Lonchura striata: one gene and its partner. The protein of the gene in region 1 interacts with the protein of each later gene in a pairwise test. Links are inferred from orthologs where the notes say so. Each region holds a gene or a part of one and is shown in the gene's direction. Other genes may lie near its edges.

Evidence for each region.
Region 2: the proteins of ANXA11 (region 1) and PDCD6 interact in binary tests that used the Homo sapiens proteins (3 or more experiments, as listed by UniProt). The link is inferred for Lonchura striata from reciprocal best matches to the Homo sapiens genes ANXA11 and PDCD6.

What each region holds. Positions count from the first base shown.
Region 1 is NC_134609.1:8,708,063-8,717,948, reverse strand, and holds the start of ANXA11 (annexin A11), read left to right. Parts: upstream 1-5,290; 5' UTR 5,291-5,368; intron 5,369-9,886. UniProt on the Homo sapiens protein: Binds specifically to calcyclin in a calcium-dependent manner. Required for midbody formation and completion of the terminal phase of cytokinesis.
Region 2 is NC_134603.1:61,258,109-61,268,477, reverse strand, and holds the start of PDCD6 (programmed cell death protein 6), read left to right. Parts: upstream 1-6,569; 5' UTR 6,570-6,622; coding exon 6,623-6,705; intron 6,706-9,604; coding exon 9,605-9,666; intron 9,667-10,369. Other genes in the region: EXOC3 (exocyst complex component 3), read left to right, coding at 405-527, 2,838-2,999, 4,169-4,296, 4,764-4,935. UniProt on the Homo sapiens protein: Calcium sensor that plays a key role in processes such as endoplasmic reticulum (ER)-Golgi vesicular transport, endosomal biogenesis or membrane repair.

The sequences.
Region 1 (9,886 bases):
TTGAGCAGGAGTGCCTCCCAAGGCTACGCCTCAAGACCAAGAGATCACTTGCCTGGCATCTGGAATCTACAGCAAGGTCAGTAACACTTTATGTTAAATTTAAAGCATACTCTACACAAGCTAGCTTAATTATTAGAAGTGTGGTAAGTGGTAGAGCATTTGACCACCTTGTTGTCATTGTTTAGTAACTGTTTAATCATCATCGTTAAATCACTCTTTAATGAAACTTTCTGGTTAACCCTACAATAATGACTTCTTTCAATAGCTTGAAAACTCTTTGATACTGCTGAATGCCTGAGTTGCTTTGCTCTCTGCTTCCTGGAAGAGAAAACAATAGGTAGGTATTTGTCCTTACATCATATTAAGTTCCACCCAGAAACTTTGTGGGGCTGGAACGTCATTTACAATAATGACACAATCAGCTCAGATTGGTATTACAAAAGTATTACAAATTGCCACAGCTGACACATTGGGATGAATGGCTCATCCAGAATGCATTCAGATGGGATTCCCAGTCAACCAACTGAATTGCATTCAGCAGCACTTAAAAATACTAGCAGATATTTATCTCTTTCCCCATACTGGGAGCTTAAACTCTGCAGGTGTAGGTGAAGTGTGTGCATGCCAGGGCCAGCTCAGTCTGTTTCTGTGAGTTCCTTTTCCTGTTGGTTAACTCTGTTAACTTAGAATTAAATGCTGATTGGAGTTCAGGATGCAATTTTACACAAGGCACAATGCAAAGCAGAAAATCTAAACAAATGGTAGAAAATATCATCTGTAAAGGCTGTGAACTTGTGACTTCTATGAGTGTATGTGGCAAAGTGTCAGCCCACCAAAGTCAGCCAGGCTATGCCCACCAAGCAGGAAAATACAGAGCTATCCAATTGTAACGCTTCAAGAGTTTAATGAGAAGTTTCTGTTAATACAAAATGGAAACTAAAGCACTTCCATCTGTTATTCCTTGATGAAAATGTTTATTTCAAGGCTATATGTGAAGGGTAATGGTTTACATACAAATGCAGGCTCCAATTTGCTCTTAACTTAATTTGAATGCTTTTAGTAACAATGGAAAATGCTCAGATTGACAGCCTCACAGATCAAAGCTCACAGTATGATGGTTTGGGGGGCAATGCAAGATGCATGCAATAAATTTAATTCATGAAAATTTTTATGTGACAGACCTACCTAGGTCTAAGGCAGATAGTTTGATAACAGAGTTTGTACAGTCCATCACAAGTTCTGGCCCAGTTACGAAATGGCTGTAGTGTTGCATTCCTCAGCATCCAGCAAGTCGAGCCATAGGCGGTGTTACCTTTATTCCAGACTAGTGGCAGAGCAGACATTAAACATTGCAGCCTCCTATTGCAACAAAAATGCACTGAGGAAACAAAGCTGAAGTGCAGAGGTCATTTCAGCTAAGCCTGCCTCCGAGCAATAGATTTTAAGCAGTAAAATTTTTTCAGGAGTGTAACACAGATTGAGGATAATGCTGTTACCATCAATGCTTGTTATCTTCAAGTCTAACACGCTGGCATATACAAAGAACCTGTGGAGGAACAAGCAGGGGAGGCAAATCCAAACACGTGATACTGTCTTGCAGGGATCTGGTTTAACTGAAGGCCTAGTTATGAAGAAGGAAAACAGGTGCATAGAAGAGTCGCAAGCTGATGGAGTTAAAAACTATGTGCAAAAACATGTGTAAAATCTACAGAATGCTCAGGAGCAGTAAAAAAGCAAGGAGGGATGATAAATGTCTTTTGTGGCTAAAGCAGAGTGAAAGGATTCAGGCAAATGTCTTTCTAAAATCTCTATCAACCAATAGAAGTGTAAAAAAGTGACTACAACCCAGCATGATTGTGAGAGAACACCCTTTCTCATAAGAGAGTGAGTTGACAAATGATGTATATCAGTTCCTTAGGGCTCAAAATGAATGTAGGCTGTATGTATGCACACCTTCAGGGGTCTGAACCTCATCATGTTCATGAAGGAAACCTCTGGGGTAACTGGACCATTTGGGTTCCAGGCTAGACCTCCCAAAAATGTATCTCACTCTGTCTGGTACTCATGGGTCCTAGACTGTCTGAAAGGCTGTGTTATAATACTTGGAGGTTTTATTTTATGCTTTGTTTAGTATTTTCTGCTGGCTTTTACTGTGAAAACACTTGAGATTTTTCTTTTTGAGTTCTCAACAATGGAATATTTTACTGATAGAAATGAAATGCTGTAAAATGAATATGGAAAAATGAAGGACAAAGTACCTATGAAATCATGTGGATGTTTTGTTGTACTAGTTTCCACCACTCAGTTCTGGTCTGTGTGTTATAATGGCACAAATCCACTTGGAAAACTGCAAGGCTGGAGCACATGAGCTTGGAAGGGTCACTAGGAAAATGTGTTGCTTGCAGGAAATGCTGCTGTGATTTTTGTGGGTTCTCCCACAAAGGCTTCTCTCTTTCAATGGGTACTGGTTCAGATTGGCACAATGTCAGAAAGCAGTATGATTATGCTTGAGATGACAGGCGAACTGTCACCTATCCCAACACCCAGGATTCTAGGCCTTGTTTCTGCTTCATTTCTGACTGTGGCATCACTCTCTGTATGAATTTGGTTTGAAATGCCAATACAGACTGACAGGTTTGTTTTTTTTATATGAGTAAAAGTAAACCTTTGTTCAATTGCACAGCATGTGGTGCTTTGGAGTTCTGTCCTGGTTAAATACCAGCATAAATATTAAAACCCAAGGTGTGGATAAATAAAAAGATTTTAAAACTCCTAGAACTTTAGGTAGATGCTGACAAGTACATGTGCTGTCTGTAAGTACATGTGCTGCCTGTAGCAGTTTTTGCAGGAAAAAGGTTTTTCTCCAGCCACAGGTCACAAAAACCATGGGCTCAGAGGTTATCATTCCTGTGGAAAAAATTCCAGAAATAAAGTATGTCTCAGTCCCTGACTGTCTGAAAATGGCAGGTAGTGAGGTCTCCATACAATGATTTCTTTGTGAGAAGAACATTCCACATACTGCCATAGCTAGTCCAGTTTTCTGTTTATGAATGGAGCATCAAAGGTGTGAGACTTCCAGTCACCGAGCCTGGAAAAATAGAGGGATTCATAGAGCTAAGCCAAATCTAGACCTTGGTTAAACCCATGGAGGATTGCAATTGACTTCAAAGTGAGCACAACCTGGTCTGGAATGAATACAGGCTGGTTGCAGCAGTACACACTTCCTCATACACCCCCTCCAGCCTAGGCATTGATACTCAAAGGGCTTTTCTACATGAAAAAATAGCAGTATTAAAGTTGTAGAAATATGAGTTTGGTTTTTTTTCCAAATCCTTCTGGAAGAAGAAATAATGCTTTGTAGAAGCTGCTGTGTCCTCATCTGCTGGGAGCAGCAGCTCCTCTGAATGGCTCCTAACCTGTTTCAGTGGAAGTTACTCTGGTTAACAGAACTCTTGTGTAGAGCTAATGTGGCCCCTTTTGGCTGACAGAGGTGAGAGGAGCTTAGATCCCAAGAGAAGCAATACCAGCAGACTCAGAGGACAAAGATCCCTGGCCTTCTTTCCACCTGAGCTACTCTGGGCACATCTTCATTTCTCCATCTGCCTGCAGAGTGAACATCAGGCTACACTCTGCATCAGAACCTGTGTTGATGTTTAGCTTTGCCTATTAATGAGCAACGTCTTTATCAGTGAAGCTTAAGGTATCTTAAGATAATTTATAATTTGTCCTAAATCACAATAAGCTAACGTGCTGGTTTTGACTGCAATTCAGTTTATCTTCTTCACAGTGACTAGTGGGGGGCTATATTTTGGATTTGTGCTGAAGACTGTGGTGATAATACAGAGATGTTTTTGTTATTGCTGAACAGGGCTTGCACAGAGACTGAGGGTGCACAAAAGTTGGGCAGGGACACAGCTGACCCCAACTGATCCCAAGGGATATTCCAGACCATATGACATTATGCTCAGTCTATGAAAGCAGAGGGTACATTTGGAGTGATGGCATTTATCTTTCCAAGTAACTGTTATGTGTCCTGGTGGTAGCTAACACCTGCCTGCCCATGAGAAGTGGAGAATTAATTCCTTTTTCTTTGCCTGTGTGCATGGCTTTTGCTTTCCTATTAGGCTGTCTTTATCTCAACACACAAGTTTTCTGACTTTTACCTCTTTTGTTCTCTCCCTGATCTTACTGGCCAGGGAGGAAGAGAGGCTGTGTGGGGCTTGGCTGCTGGCTGGGGTTAAAGCACCACAGCTGTTCTTATACTCAGATATAGCTCTTCACCTGTTTTAGACTACTTTAAATGTAGCTGTTTCCCATGAGTGCAGCCTTGCCTCTGCAGTGCCAATTAAAATTTTGGAGAGGGAAAAATGGCAATTTATTTTCTTTAGTTCAGTCACAGCTGTTGTATTACAATGATTGGCCATTGTGGTATGTGAAAGTTGTATGGAGGAGAAAAAGCCCAGGTCCTCCACTGAAAGCTATTGGTGGTTGAACAGGATGCTTTGAGTAGTGTGAACACATCTACCCAGTTCTGGACCCTGTTCACAAAATTCCCAGCTGCAACATCAAGTTCATTCCCCACCCAAGTTGTATAATGCTGTGACTCAGCTAGATAATGCTGTGTTTGCTATTTTTATTAGTGTCTTGGCAAAAGAAATATAATTGGAAAATGCTAGCCCTTTTTATTTTTCGTTTTTATTATCTTGGTTTGTCTCTCTAAATGCTTCCATGTGAGCAACTTCACTCACCTTTAAAGAATGCATGTAGGAAAGAAAAAATGTTTATTGAAGCCTGTAGCTATTACTGCTTGTACTAGAAAAGGCTTCCTCTTGACTTTTTTTGTGAAATTTTACTTAGGGAAAACTGTATTATATACTAAATGGGTGTTTTCTGTACCACCTTGTCTGGAAACCGTGTTTCCTGGTGAGGACAGTCAGGGTGGTTTTGGGTTTAAATCCGATGCTGTGCTGAACGCTTACAAGCTTGACTTGAGCCAGGACTTGGTTTTGCCGTGTGCAGGCCAGCCGGTCCCTCAGGCGCCGCTGTGCTCTCGGGGAATGCCCAGGCTGCCCCGCGACGGGCGGCGTTACCTCTCTTAGAGAGCTGTGTTTTCAATACAATGGGCCTTTCGCTGAAGCCGGCCCGCGGTCAGACCTGCTGCGGGCTCCCCGGGGCCAGCGCGGGCTGTCCGGCCGGGACAGCGCAGGCTCCGCGCCGGCCGGGCCGGCCCTCCTCGCCGCGCGGCGGGGCGGGCCGGGCCGGGCCGGGCGAGCCGGGCGGGCGGCTCCGCCCCTGCCGCTCCGGGCCCGCCCGCAGCGCCGCCAGCACCGGCACGGGCGGTGGGAGCGGCGGCTCCGCGGGACCTGCGGTAGGCGCGACCTCGGGCCGGGGCGAGGGGCCAGGGCCCCGGTGCGGCGGGGCCGTGGGCCGGGTCCCCGCGGGGCCGGGATCCCGGGCGGCAGGAGCCCGCGGGGTGACAGCGGCGGCTCAAGGGCTGCCCGGGACCCGGGGAGGTCGGGGCTTGCGGCAGCTCCGCCGCCGGCAGGGAGCGACGCCCGTTCCCTGGGGAAACGTGGATTCAGGGGAGAGGGCATGCTCTGCTGTTGTAGTCGCAGTTCGGTCCTTTGGCCGAGTCCGTAGTTTATCTTGACTTTATGATTTGATGTGTACAGTTGTCAGGAGGAAGCAGCCTAAGATGGTAGGCTGGCCATTACGCAGTGCTTTTGCCTTTTTTTTTTTTTTTTTTTTTTTTTTTTTAATCCAGAAGGCCCCTTTCTCTAAACTGCACTTATTACACTCTATCTTTTCTTATACCATATGTATTTCGAATGTCTTTAAGACACTTAAGTGTCTTTAAGTGTCTTCAAGTCACTTTAGTTGTCTTAAAAGGAAACTCTTCAAACTCTTGCTATGCTGCAGCTATATGTGTGACAGAGCACAGCACAAATATCTCCCTATTCAGAAAAGCAATTCCTTCTTGTCCCCATTCTGTTTCTGGGCAGTAAGGACGTACTTCTCTGGAATATGTTTTAATTTTTAAAGATATTTACAGTAGTTCCTGGAAGCTTCTTCCTGTTAAGGAGGAACTGTCGAGAAATAACGTTCTGAAGGGAGTGGCAGAGGCATGGAAGGCATCTCAGCCTGGAACGGGGACAGGAGGCTGGGGAGCGGAGAAAGCAGACTGGCGAGGGAGGGGAGAAGTGCTGGTGCAGTGTGTTTTGATGAAGGAGCTGATTATGAGGGTTATGCACATGAAAACCCAGCTGCTATCAGAGGCGGGAGGTTCATTCCCTGATACCTCCCCCAGCATATAGTTATTTTCCGTGGAGTGAGTCAGTGTTTTACTAGATCACCCATGGTAACATCAGAAACAGCACAAAAGCAGTGCAAGTATATGGTTGCTGTAAAGCCTGAGTGTATGAACACTTTCCCCATAGCTTGGCTATTTTTATAATTTCCTGTGTTTTGGGTTGCTGTAAGAGTCATGTGGACCACTCTCCTCCCACTGATGCAGCAGATAACTTGAATTGAGCATTGCTTACATGTTTGCCTGTAGCCCTGTCCCCACTGCATTTCTGCTGAGTGCCTAATTATTTTATGTCAACAATATTTATGATATTTTTGGTTTTTCTCTTGCTGGACCTTAGTATAAGATCAGAGGCCAAAATGTCTGTCTGTACTTAAAATTCCTGGAGTAGCCATCACATTCGTTCATATGATTTGTCACTTCTTTAGCTTATTATTTGTAGTCCCCAGAAGTTTAGAATTGTTAGACTGAAAACTCCATGAAATGTCAGAAGTCACTAAAAGGTACAACAAAACCAGCAGTGGGATGGAGCTATTTCATGGGGGTGTTTATGTAGTCAGAATTGTGAAGACATAGTGTTAGATAACAACTTAAAATACATAACCTGATCTGCTATATAAAAAAAAAAATCAAGCCAAGAAGTCTGTCTGATTTGAAGGTTACAGGAGGTGGTGTTTTCTAGACCTCTAACAAATTTTGGAAGATAGAGCTTCCATAGGGTCTGTTCAATAGCACTGCACTAATCAAAACCAAGATAGAGCTGACTTAATTCTACTTCTGTGATAGCAATGGAGGTATTAAAAAAAGAAGCTCTAGTTAAAGCAACAATATAGCAGATAGTTTAATTGTGACTACAGAAATAGTAGGGCTTTTGAACAAACTGAAAGTTTCATTTATTTTTAGCCAAGCCTCTATATAATAATTTGTAGAAACTTCTCTGTCAGCTTCAAATTGTGGTTGGAGGTTTCTGTTACAATAAATATTCAACTGAGTAATGGCACCAATATGATTTTTGTTTATTGTTATTTTTGTTTACTACCTTGACCCATATTTCTTATTGGATATATTTTTAAAGTGTTTTATGTAAACTGTTGGAAATAAGGACAGGGACTTGTCAGCTGTATGCAGTGTGTTTTGTTTTGAGTTTCTTTTGAAGGTAGCAAAACACTTTTTAAAGGAAAGAAAAGGCTGCACATTTACCCCTCAGCAAACAGCACTTTCACCTGTTTGAAACTTGAGTTGTCCCTTTATTTTTGCCAGTTTATTTGAAAGTGACTGTGGTTGGTATAAATGCTGAATTTCCTTCCCAGGTCCCCAAGATGGGAACAATGTAAAGTAGATATGCAAACCTAAGAACAGCAATAGGTTTTTACTGTGTATTGCTTCTATTGTTGCTCTGTGTTTGTTCCAGATTTTATCAGCACTCACTAGATAAGCTTGATAAGAAGTTAGATCCTGAATGGGGTAACCTGGAATCAGTTACAGGACAGAGCTGGGACTCAGTGGTGTCCTTCTAAGAGACAATTCTGACACTTTCTTGTGTGATTCTTGCTTGGCAGCTAGTTTTTTGTTTGTATGTGTGCAACTATATCCATAATGTTCAGCTGTCACAGATGCTGGTTGTGGACCAGTGCCAGTTGTTAGATTTTGGTAACTGAATAAAACAAACACAGCCCCCACAGCCACTCCCTGGCTGTTCCCTGTGCAGTGCCTGTCTCTGTGACGTCTGGTTAGTAGCAATGATCTTGTCTGAGACCTCCAAAGAAAGGGAAACAAGTTCTTCCCAGGTGTGGCCTCCTTTTTTCCCTTATGTGCTGTCTGTTTGAGAGAGAATATGCTGTCTTACTTGGTAAGGAAGGTTAAAAGTCTTTTGGAATTATTGTTTTGGTTGTGTTTGGTTTTTTTTTTCTTTTACCACAAAGTGTGAGTGATAAAGGTTTTTTTGAGGGCATTGGGAAAGTGTTCACCAGTAGGAGAGGTGGGCTTCCAATTCAGGCTTTTAGATCTTAACTTCTGGTGATCTTAAGAACTGTCAAATATATCAGTTCCATATTAAAGATCCAGATGAGTTTTAATGCTTCTGAAGGTCTCTTGTTTGTGCTAAACTTTACTGTAGCCATATAGTCAATATGTATGTGAAGTGATAATTGCTATGATTAATTCCTGCACCCCCGAAGACCTCTGGCTTGGCTAGAAAAACTTGTCTGATTTTGGACTTTGGCCTAGTAAGTTGCTCTGAATTAAGTGCTTAAGTTGCCTGAAGCAGACAGGGTAACTGTTTCTGTTATTATTGCTAGAGGTAACAATTTTAAGCATGGGAATTTGCACTTATTCAGTAAACAGTGTACTTAACTATAGTCAAAATAACTGGTTGTTGCCTGTGCTTGGTAGTGTTTTAAAAATACTTGGTTTTCTATTAGCTAGGAGAATAAATGCATCTTACAAATACCAGGATTTAGGGGAAAAATACTTCTCGTAGTAAGCTTTAAGGATTAGACCTTGCTGATCTCAAGTGCAGTCTAGATTTGAAGGCTACAGTCTTGCTTTCTTTTCACATTCTTTGTTTATGGTTGCTTTGAAATACCTATTTTACTATTCTAAGTTGGTTCTTTAATAATTCTGTTCCTGGAAAGAATTAATCAACTGAGAATGAATAATTCCTTATAGTCTGGAACGAATGAAGGTTTGTCCATTTTGCTCACGGAGGGGTAGTAACCATCCCAGCGTTGCTGGACAGGTTAATGTGTTCAGCAAATGTGTCCAGAAAGTGCGAAAGTCATCCCTGTTAAGAAAATATTGATGTCTTTGTACCTCTGGTTGATGTGGGGAGTCCCCGGGCTGTCAGCAGAGAGGCTTTGTCGCAGTGTCAGGTTTGTCCATGCAGCTGCTGCCAGTGTCCCTGACTTTGGGAGCTGTCACTTGAGCAGCCTGGTGTCAGCCTGGCGCCTCTGCAGCCCCAACAGCTGCAGACCTGATGGAAGCCTTTTGTTGTCCCTTTCTTCCTGTTGCCTCTGCCTTTGCAGTGGGGCCACTCCCTGACTCTGCGCTTCAGGCTCGGCCACAGCAACTAATTAAAAACTGCTGGTGAGAAATGATCAATCAGATATTTTTTAGTAATTATTTTAAGGTGCTGAATACCACACTATTGCTGTAGTTCATGGAGTAATTGGTATTTACATATTCTGACTTGCACTAATGGTGCGAAAATTTATTCTTTTATGGTGGAACTTAAAATAGAGGAGTATAAATCCCTGAGGTATTAGTCAGTTGAGAACATAGTTCAGACTATTTATAGTCTTATTATTTTTTTGCAACAAATGATTTTCTGCGACAAGTTACGAGTTTGAAATATAACAACCTCATTCCATTACTACTTCAAACATCTCATAACCTTAATTGGTTTATTTTCCTTGCTTGTTTTGTTGTTTGGAAAGTGTCTATCTGTATTGTCACAAATATATATTTGAAAGAGAGTGTTGAAGTGTGCTACAAAAGGAAGCACTTGCATCAGGGCAGAGTAGGGATCCAAAATGAAACTGACCTCTTGGAATTAACTCAAGTTTTTGCTGCTTATAGATC
Region 2 (10,369 bases), on another chromosome or scaffold:
AATATTAATATTGAAGGTACAGTTCACCTGTAATTAAGATATTTAATTGATTCTAACAGTGGGCCCCTTTCTGTGTGGTAGATTTCCATGTTTAGGAATTCTAGCTTCTTCTATAGAATCCCTCAGGGAAAGAATTACTACTTTAAAAAATAGGGAGTATGGGGAGGGAAACAGGGCAATTAGAGAAACAGCAGGAAATGGTAAAGAGAGATGCTCTGGGACTTGATGAATTTGTAATAAAACTTTGAACTAATATAAATACCTTGAGTGGCTCACATGAGGAAGGATGTGGGAGAAGCATAGTTTAGAAATTGACAACACTTATAATTGTCTCGCATGTTTTAGTAACTGCACTGATCTGATGAAACTGTCAAAAACCTGTTCTGATCTTGTCACCTTCTCAGCCCCATCTGAATGAGCTGATGACAAAGAAGTGGCTGATGGGATCTAATGCAGTGGGGACTATCTGTGTCACTGTAGAGGATTATTTCAATGACTTTGCAAAAATTAAAAAGCCTTACAAAAAGGTAGGTGCAACATAGTGATACTTTGCTAATGTACTCTGAGCATCATGGTGATTTGGAATTTCTGAACACCACATGGAATTCAAAACTGAAATGCAGAAATTGGAATTGATTCATTACTGGAAAGGAAAAAATGTTCATCATCATATTGCAGAAATCTGAATCTACTTTTTTTTTTTTTTTTTTTTTTTGTTCACAGGCATGTAATATTGTCAAAGACAGATCTAAGTTGTAGTATTTAGTCCAAGAAACTTCTTGGCATGTTACTAGATATTTTTACCAGTTTGTATTTTTTGCCACTTCTCAGAAGTTTGTAGTCTGATAAAATTAGCTCTTCTGAAACTAGTTTTCCTGGTCTGTAATGACTTTTTTTGCAAATGCACATCAAGTAATTCCTAGTTTTAATATATACAATGAAGCATAGTGAATTTGGTGTGCCATAAGAGTTAACAAATGCATATTTATGTTTAAAGTTCTCTTACAACGGTAAATGTGCTAGGTTAGGATTTTTTTTCCTCTGGTCTGTCAAAGGATATCTGAATTTCTCTATTTATAGAAACAAGTACAATAATGTGGAAGATTAAAGTCAGGTTCATGTAATAAGACAGGATTAAATGGTTGTCTAACATTTAGGAACCTAATAGAAGCCAGCAAGATCTGTATTTAGGTGAGGTCTTTGAAGAAGCTCTTAGAAGGGCTTAAAAGACAGTCTCCAAATCATACACTTATTCTTTCTTACCTTAATTCTCAAAGTGATAAAGGGAACCGCTCCGAGTTTCTCCTATGACCTTTTAACCTTCAGTATTTGCAGATCCTAGAGGCCTTATTATGTAAGTAAATGTATTTTCGGTCCAGAAAAAGTGCACAAAATGAGTTAGGTCAGTCTCAGAATTAGTCTATATCCATGGAACAGCTTTCTTTTCCAGATTTAGTTTATTACTGTGAGGTACGAGTGCTTGGCATGGCTTTTGAGGTGTTAATACCCATCTCTGTAATCACATATGTTTCAATATGTAGCATTTATTGCCACCTTGTGGGGAAGAAGCTTACAAGCAGGTTGTTTGGCATTCAACATACCCACTTTTCCACTGTCTCCCAGCACAAAAAAAATCTCCCATGAAAGATGCCATATGTTCTAGCACGGGCTGGACCATGCTTTTGTTTCCCCGATTTGTGATGGGATTTTTCCAGGTTTTAAAATATTCTTGGATAACCCTGTTTTGAAAGTACAGTTTTTAAAAGCCACATGATCAGAGCACCTCCAAGAAGACTGTAGTCCAATGAGAAGGACAGAGTTCTGAAACAGAGGAAATTGGCATTTAAGGCATTCTGCTTTACTGTTTTCCTTGTGTGTAAATTGAATGCTCTACCATTCCCTGTTGGCTCTTCTGGAGTGTTCTAGTTGTAGTGGAGCTGTTCTTCAGTTCCTCTCCAGCCAGATGGGCTATACATGTCAGCCCCCCACAGTCTGTTCTGTGGAGTTCATTTTTCTTTGTGTAACTGGCATCAATTCCACCAACACAAGAGAAGCTGTCCCTGAGCAACCACCTAACTCTGGTATTTCTGCAGACTCTTGAGAGCAGAACTTAAAATTGTATTTTTGACTTCCAGTACTTTGCAATCTGTTTTCTCCCTTTTTTTCTTCCTTTTTCTCTCTTTGCTGAAACCTTTTATTCAAATTTTGACTGAAGAATATATTTCAAGAACAACTTGAAACTAAAGTTTGATCATACTGCTAATAAAACATAATAAATAGTTTGTGACTACCTCTTACACCAGCTTTTTCTTAATCATAAGTAACTTTGCCACCATGTTTACGAGGAAGAAAAAACACCTGAGGACTTGTCGGATTTAAGAACTCTGGTTACATTTTTGTTGAAAAATAAGCATGTGAAGGTTTTGGAGTTTTAGTTTTGTTCTTTATTTCCAAATCTCAGTATTACTCTTGCACAAATACCATGATACTCATACCATCCAGGTACCAGTAGATATTTCCCATAAAAAAGATAAGTGCAGAACAGCAAATCAGTCAAGGAAGATCTGAGAAAGGGATTGTTCTTTGATGCTCCTCAAAAAACTCAGACATGTTATTAAAGATATGTTGGGTTTGTTGCTTCTTGTGATTGGCTCATTGTTAGGGAAGGAGAGATTTTCATTTCTGTGAGAACAGTGAAAATCTAAAACTCCTCAATCTGTGTTAGCAAAAATTGTATACTGCTGTTTAAGTGCAAATACACAGTTCATAGCTTAAAAATAATGGCTACTTCTGCAGGTATCACTGGCATAACCCACCAGCTTTTCCATCTCTTTCAGACAATGACTCTTGAGGCCCATCGGAGAGTAGTTGTGGAATACATCAGAGCAATCATGCTAAAACGTATATCTTTCAAGAATGCAGAAGAGAGAAAAGAAGGTGCAGAAAGAATGATTAAAGAAGCAGAACAGTTCAGATTTTTGTTTAAGAAGCTTGCAGCTGTAAGTATTTGCTTTGGGTAGTGCTGTTATCCTGGTAATTTACAATAACCACGTATGTTTATTGCTTGGGGGAAATGGCTAGAGTTAAATCTCCATGTCTCCAAAATGTTGAGTGACTTGGGAATATCAAAGATGCCACCTGGGGGGCACAGATGCAGATTCTGAAAACTCAGGCCAGCTGCTAAAATTCCTGAGCACCAGTTTCTAGTGCTTTGTGTTTATACAGCTCTCTGCAGCTGAATATTTGAATGGCCTCTGAGAGATAGATACCTGGAATTCATAGTAGTAAGTGAAAGAAAAAAGCAATTAAAAAAAAAAATCTGTCTTTTCTTTTCCTGGCCAGAAGAAAGGCTGATCTGGCATCAAACAGATGCCATTACTTATTACCTAAGGAGCATGCAGTGTGTTAATTTGGATCAATAAGATGAGTATGTTGACCCCATTTAAAGTCCAGTAGAAATAGAAAAGACAAGCTAAAAAAAAGGTATTTGAAAATCAACATACAAGACAGGTGTAAAAGTTTTAACTGCATAAGGAACAGGGATCTTCCAGAAAGCTCTTGGGGGCAACAGATGACCGATTGTAAAAACAATGCGCAGAAAGATAAAAGCCTGAAAAACTGGGATAGTTGATGGAAGAGGTTGTAGAATAAAGGAAACAAACCATACCTGATTGGCAGAACCAGGTGACCTTGAATAAGAATACTGAAATAATCCAGAGTTTAAATAGATACAGATCAATCAACCAGTTGCTGAAAGCTGCTTTGGTGGCCAGATGACTTGAAGGAATGTAACAGAGGGCCAGTTTTGAAGTAATGTTTCAGAAGAGATCTGTCTTTTATGTCAGTTATTCCTAATATTTATGCTCATAATTTCCCAAAGTTGAAGACTGGAATTTATCACCATGTGGATAAATACAACATATTGTTTGTAGGACACTACTTTCTTCACTGATATTCTCAGCATAAGTCTCTGAATGGAAAACAGGGAGAGAAAAGGATTACGGTGACAATTTACAAATACTTGTTTTTTTAAATGTCTGAAAATTCAGCTTTTTGGGAAATTCAAGGGCATTGTCAGACAAAATATTAATTAAAGGATTATTTGTAGGTTTGAGGAGTACTGCTATTGTTTTGGGACATTTTTAATATTTTTTGTTTACTTTTGCAGGGCTCTGGAGAGGACACTGAAGGACTCTGTGACATCATTGAAGCCATTGCCGAGGTTATCAAGCTGACTGATCCTTCACTACTCTATCTGGAAGTTTCAACTTTAGTCAGTAAATACCCAGATATCAGGTAATTCTCTGCCCTCAGATTTAATATATAGAAAGATAACAACATAATTTCCTAGAGGTTTGGGCAAATTCTGAAATTTAAAACAGTCTGTAAATGTGTTCATATTTTTCATATTTTAGAATGTAACCACTTTCTTGTAGTAATTAATAATAAAAAGAAAGTAATGCTAATCTACAATGTACATGAGCTGGACTAGAAGTTACAACTACTTAAGTACTGCAGGGGAATACTAAAAATACTTCAGCTCTGTGTGTTAGGAGGATAAAATAGGTTTTAGAGTCCTAAAAGCAGCCAAAATGGTGCTTTATATTGAGCAGGAAAAGCCAGTTCTGAGTGAGTAGAGATCTCGTTAAGAATAAAAAAGTACCTGAAACTGAGTGAAAGGATTGCCAATTAAGTGCTGTCTTTGACAAAATCTTTCTTGTGCGAAGCCTCCTAATGCCAGTTTTACCCTTTTTATTTGGCAGGGATGACCACATTGCAGCTTTGCTGACAGTGAGAGGTGATGCCAGCAGAGATATGAAGCAGACTATCATTGAAACTTTGGATCAAGGTCCAAGCCAACCAAATCCAAACTACGTGCCAATTTTTAAGGAAATTACAGTTCCTACTCTCACTGTGCCAAAACTTCTGAAGTAATTGACAACTCTGTGTTTGTGTGTCATTACTGCTCTGGGATCAACAGGTTTGAAATATTTGTGGGCAAATTTGGCAGTGCTATTTTGAGTGAAGTTCTGTATACATTGATACTTGCTAGGCATAGTTCTTTCTGAAGACTTGGACGGAAGGAAATGCAAGATACCTGAAAGAAGAATTAAAGGTCATGTTTGAAGAGCAAAGCTTTTAATGGCATGGTTGTTTTTTGTTTTTGGTTTTTTTTTACTGACCTGTTTGTCACAGCTGGTTTTGCTGTCAGCAAATACATTTTTCTTGTGGAATATGTTTGCACAGTGCGCTGCAATGCTATATAAAGATATTTATACCAAGACCTGCAGAGCTGTATTAGTGCTGGATATACTAACATACATCACTTACAATACCTAAGCAGACTGCTTTAGAACTGTCTTTATATGGCACTGCATTCAGCGTTAATGTCAATCCACTTTCACGTTATATTTTGTGTATGTACTTACTTTGGTGTAAAATAGTTTATTGCAGAAAACTTAATTATGAAATCAGTTTGCTGACATAAAGGACTGAATGAAATTGCTACAGTGCAATTTGATTATAGGTTGAATAAATAAATAAAGACATAAGGTACAATTTTTTTTCACTGATTCACTAAAAACAGCACATAAAGCACACCAGTTCAATAAAATGTTAAATCATTCCTATGTTCAGCTATGATTCTTTGCATCCTTGTAGATTTACAGAGCATGTAAATCTTTTTTGTTGTTCTAAGTGTGAATAAAAATTGGATTTCATAGTTTTCTGAAAACACAAGATACTGGGTTTTATTTCTACAGTATTTTCAGATTAAGTATAAAATAGTACTAGACGATTATGGATTCAAAATTCCTTGATGGAGGACACATTTAAGGCATTATCTCTTAGTACCTGACCAGAGCTGTCAGAAGTAAGCATGAGGAAGACGCATACCTACATTGTTTTAATTCAGCTTTCTGGAGTTTGTGTGCCTGACGCCTTTGGCCTGTGGCCACCCAGGCCTTGTGCCATTCCAGCCGTCCCCAGCTCATCAGTACTCTGGAAGCGGTATGTACAGGGCCAGCAGTTTGGATAGAGGATGGATCTGAGATTGTGACTTTCTGCAGGGACAGGGACAGTGTGTCCCGAGATGGTTCAGTAGAGCTTCATCCTGGTATCTCTGTGCTTGAGGGGTTTTAGCACAGGAGGTTCTTAGGGACAGTAAACTCTGCATAGAAGTTGTAGGTGCAGGGAGAGGAATTTGACTGGTTTTCAGAGGGTTGTGTTCAGCCCCCAGTAAAGAATTCAGTTAAAGATCAGTGAGGTGGTGCTAATTTGGCTTGTACTCCAATTCCATCCTCTCCCTGAAATTCTTTCCCGGTGTGCTTTAATCCTCACTTTGTGTGAGGGGATCTGTTGAGCGGGCTTTGTTTCCCTCTGTATCGCTTCTTGAGGCTCCATCCCCTCAGGACAGGCCAGCTGCCCTGAGCGGGGACCCGGGCCCGGGCACGGCTCCCGCCTCCCGCCCGCGCCGGGGGCGGCTCCCGGCGGGGCGGGGCCCGCCCGGGATTCCCCTCCGCGCGGCGGGGCGGGGCGCGCGCCCCCGCCCTGCCGTGACGTCACAGGCGTGTGCGTCAGCGCGGCCGGTGTCGGCGGCGCGCGGGGCGGGCGCGCGGGGGCCATGGCGGCGGGGTACCAGCACCGGCCCGGCGGCGGCGGCGCCGCCCTGCCCGACCCCTCCTTCCTGTGGAACGTCTTCCAGAGGTGAGCCCCGCCGCGGGCAGCGGGCAGCGCGCAGCGGGAGGGGCCGGAAGCGGGTCGGCTGCTGCGGGAGTCCGGCCACCGGCCCGGCGCATCCGGCGCGGGGTTTGGCTGCCGCGGCGCTGGATGCGCTGTGAGCATCGCGGTGGCTTCCCCGTGGGAGGAGCTGTACGAAAGAGCTGGGGAGGAATAAACGTGGCTGTATTTTGTAACGGGGGTAAAGGGAATTGGTGGGAGCGAGACGGTAACCTTGAAAGCGCTGAAGTAATTTTTAACCTGAGGTTGCAGAAAGGATAATTAAGTCCGGAGGATCGGTGTAGCAGTACAGGGAAGGCTTGCTTGTAATAAGGGATCTGATAAATGTTAATGAAAGACTAAAGCTACCAGCCAGAAAAGATAGCTGCACTAGGGGACATTTAGGCTGGATATCGGAAAGAACTTCTCAGCAAGGGTGATTGGACATTGGAATGGGCTGCCCAGGGAGGTGCTGGAGTCGCGGTCCCTGGAGGTGTTTAAGGAGAGACGGGGCGTGGCACTCAGTGCCACGGTCCAGGTGACACGGGGCTGTTGGGTCATAGGTTGGACTTGATGACCTTAGAGGTCTTTTCCAACCGGAAGGATTCTGTGAAGTATTCTCTTGAATTCTCCTGGATCAGAGGGACCTGCAAGGGAGTTAGCAAGCTTGTGCTAAAGAAACACACTGGCAAGATCCTATCAGTAAAGAAGCCAAAGGAGATTTCCCAATTATGTCTTGTTGAGGAAACTCGGGAGGTGCCTACATTGGATCCATTTTTATGGGAGATGACTCAAGACAGATCCTCTGACACAAGCAGCAGCAAGAAGGGGTTTTAAGCAGTAGACAAACAGTACTAAGTTTCTAAAACTGGCTGATCTTTACAGAGTGACTCAGGAATGCAGCAGCTTACCTACCCAGCCTGCTGTAAAACAACTTCCTCTGAGGACTCGGGAGAGGCAGGCATGAAGCCGTTTCTCTTTTTAAAGGGTCCAGAAAGAAACAGATCAACAATCCGACTTCTGCACCAGGAAAATCAGTAAAAAGAATTTTAAATAATGTAGTTAGGAGTTGCATGGCTTTTGTTGAAAATGTTCCTTCTGGCAGACTGCTATATAAATCCTGGACTATGTTTCCTAAGGATTGGATTTGGGTATGGATGGCTAAAATTGGAGCAATTCGTATAATCTGTACACTTTTCAAAAATACTCCCAACACTATCAAAAGGCCCTTGAAGAAATTCAGTAAACGTGGAATGAATGGAAGCATTCTTCAGTGGATGGAAAACTGACTGGAGGGTGTGTGTGTGTGGTCATGCACCACACTGACAGATGGAGCTCTCCTGGGATCTTTATGTAATCAGTTCAGGAGCAGTTGTGGGAAAGAGAGTAGGTTTAGATTGGATGGTGGGAATAAGTTTTGTTTTGTGGGCGTGGTGAGGCACTGGAACAGGTTGCTCAGAGAAGCTGTGGCTGCCCCATCCCTGGAAGTTTTTAAGGCCAGGCTGCATGGAGCTGTGAGCCATCTGGTGTAATGGAACATGTTCCTGCCTACAGCCAAGGATTGGAACTTGAGGATATTTTAGGTCCCTTTCAACCCAAACCATTCTGTGGTTCTATGATTCTGTGAAAAAAGGGTGAATGGTCAGGTGAAGTTTGCTGATTTCTGCAGTGACTGAGGCCTGTGAAAGTTTGCAGGAGCACCTTACAGTCCTGAATGACTGGGCTGTATCAGCCTGTCATGGTCAGATCATGATCCCTGCATGATAGGTGATCCCAATGTGTCAGGTGGAATCCAGAGCAGAAATCTGATGTCCATGAGGAAAACCCATTCTAATTTTCCATAATTTTGTTTATAAAAGGAACATGCTGATAGATGACCCTCAGGAGAAAGATAAGTAGGTCAATGCATTTTAGTGAAAATATCAGCTTAGCACTTGGTAGCAGCTTATAAAAGGTAAAAAATGTTCACAATACTAAGAAGAGAAACAGATTATACAGGGGAATTTGTAATTGAAATCTTTGCAATTTATGCTAGCAATTTTAGTATTGCATGCAGGTTACATAATTCTTGGAGATGGGGAAGGAAGCAATAGAATGAACTGAAAGTGTTTAGAAAAAGACAGTAAGAACTAAAGGAAAAGAAAATCAGCTTCTGTGCATGGAGATCAGCTGAGCGGGACTCTGGTTGGGGTAGTAAATGAGGGGAAATGAAAATTGTCAGTCTAAGGGAACATCCTTGTATGAAATGGAGGGAAGTCTCCACCATTTTCAGGTACCCTGATAGAGAAGGCATGCTCCTTCTTTAATTGGGCAGAAATCACTTAATTTATTAATTTTGGCATAGAACTTGAATCATTAAGACAATGGACTGTGAATGGACTGTGCTTAGTGGAAGCTGGAACCTGCCTGCGCTTTTGCTTCTTTGAACCCCTTTGCAGGGCCCTGCAAACGATTGAACCTTTCAGTACTTTGGTCACATTAGTGACTTAATCTCCATTGCCAACATGTGAGAGAGCCTGGGTGACAAACCTGTTGCACCAGTTTGTGAAACAAATAGCTCACTGCTGTCACATTAGGCATTTCGTGGATTTAACCAGCATGTGTGCTCTGCAGCTCTCTTAAACAGAAATAAATGAAAATACTTCCTTGTGGAGAGCATGCCCAAACTGTTTCGTTGTCAGTGTTTCTGTGCGTCTCTTCACTCGTAAGTAAGTCTTGCAGTTTTCTTTGGAGCTTTTATCATGTTCCAGAGACTTTTCAGGAAAATAATAATCTCATCTGGTGACTAAGAAGCAGAATGTCGAAGTCTTCAGTAAGTGGAACCTGTTAATTTCAGCCATTTAAAACTTACTACCTGGTTTTGTTTTGTTTTGGCTTTTTTCCCCAGAGTTGATAAAGACAGGAGTGGAATAATATCTGATAATGAACTTCAGCAGGCATTATCCAATGGTAAGTCTGTAAATGAGCAGTGAGGTAGTTCATTGTAAGCTTCATGATAAATTTGTTGCAAGAGTGGTTACTTGAGGCTGTGATTCTTTGTATGGAAGGGGGTGGGAAGTGTTCCTGCCACTCAGTAGTTACAATTTCATCTACAGCAAAAGGCTGGAAAGGGAAAAAATGAACAATCCTTGTGATTTTTTGTTTGTTTGTTCTAAACTGATTGTAACTGTTACTGGTCTGTATTTTGAGGAATGAGGGCGTGCACATCCCTTTATTTTTTTCCCGGCTCTACTTCCTAGAAATCATAACCAGTGATTCATATATTCCTTGCTTATCACTCCTGAACCTTTTGTTTTTTTAATGAGAATCAGTGTATAACTTGGAAAAAACTGTTTACAACCAGCCTTTTTAATTGCACATAATTTATTTTTCATACAATATGGTGCAGGAAATAAAGTATGTCTGGGGTTTTTCTTAACAGAATAGAAAGATGCACTCTAGATCTTGTATTAGAACTTTCTAGTAGTCAGTTCCTTGTTGTAATATTCAAAGAAACTAGGGTACTGTCAAATAACTCATGGAAACAAAAAATGAATCATTTTTCCAGTAGCCTATTTTTACTTTCCTCCCGTGACTCAGGGTAGATAGGGTTCTACTCTGTGGGGTTTTTTTTCTGTTTGGAAATCTGAAAAAGGGCATATTCAGTCTGTTT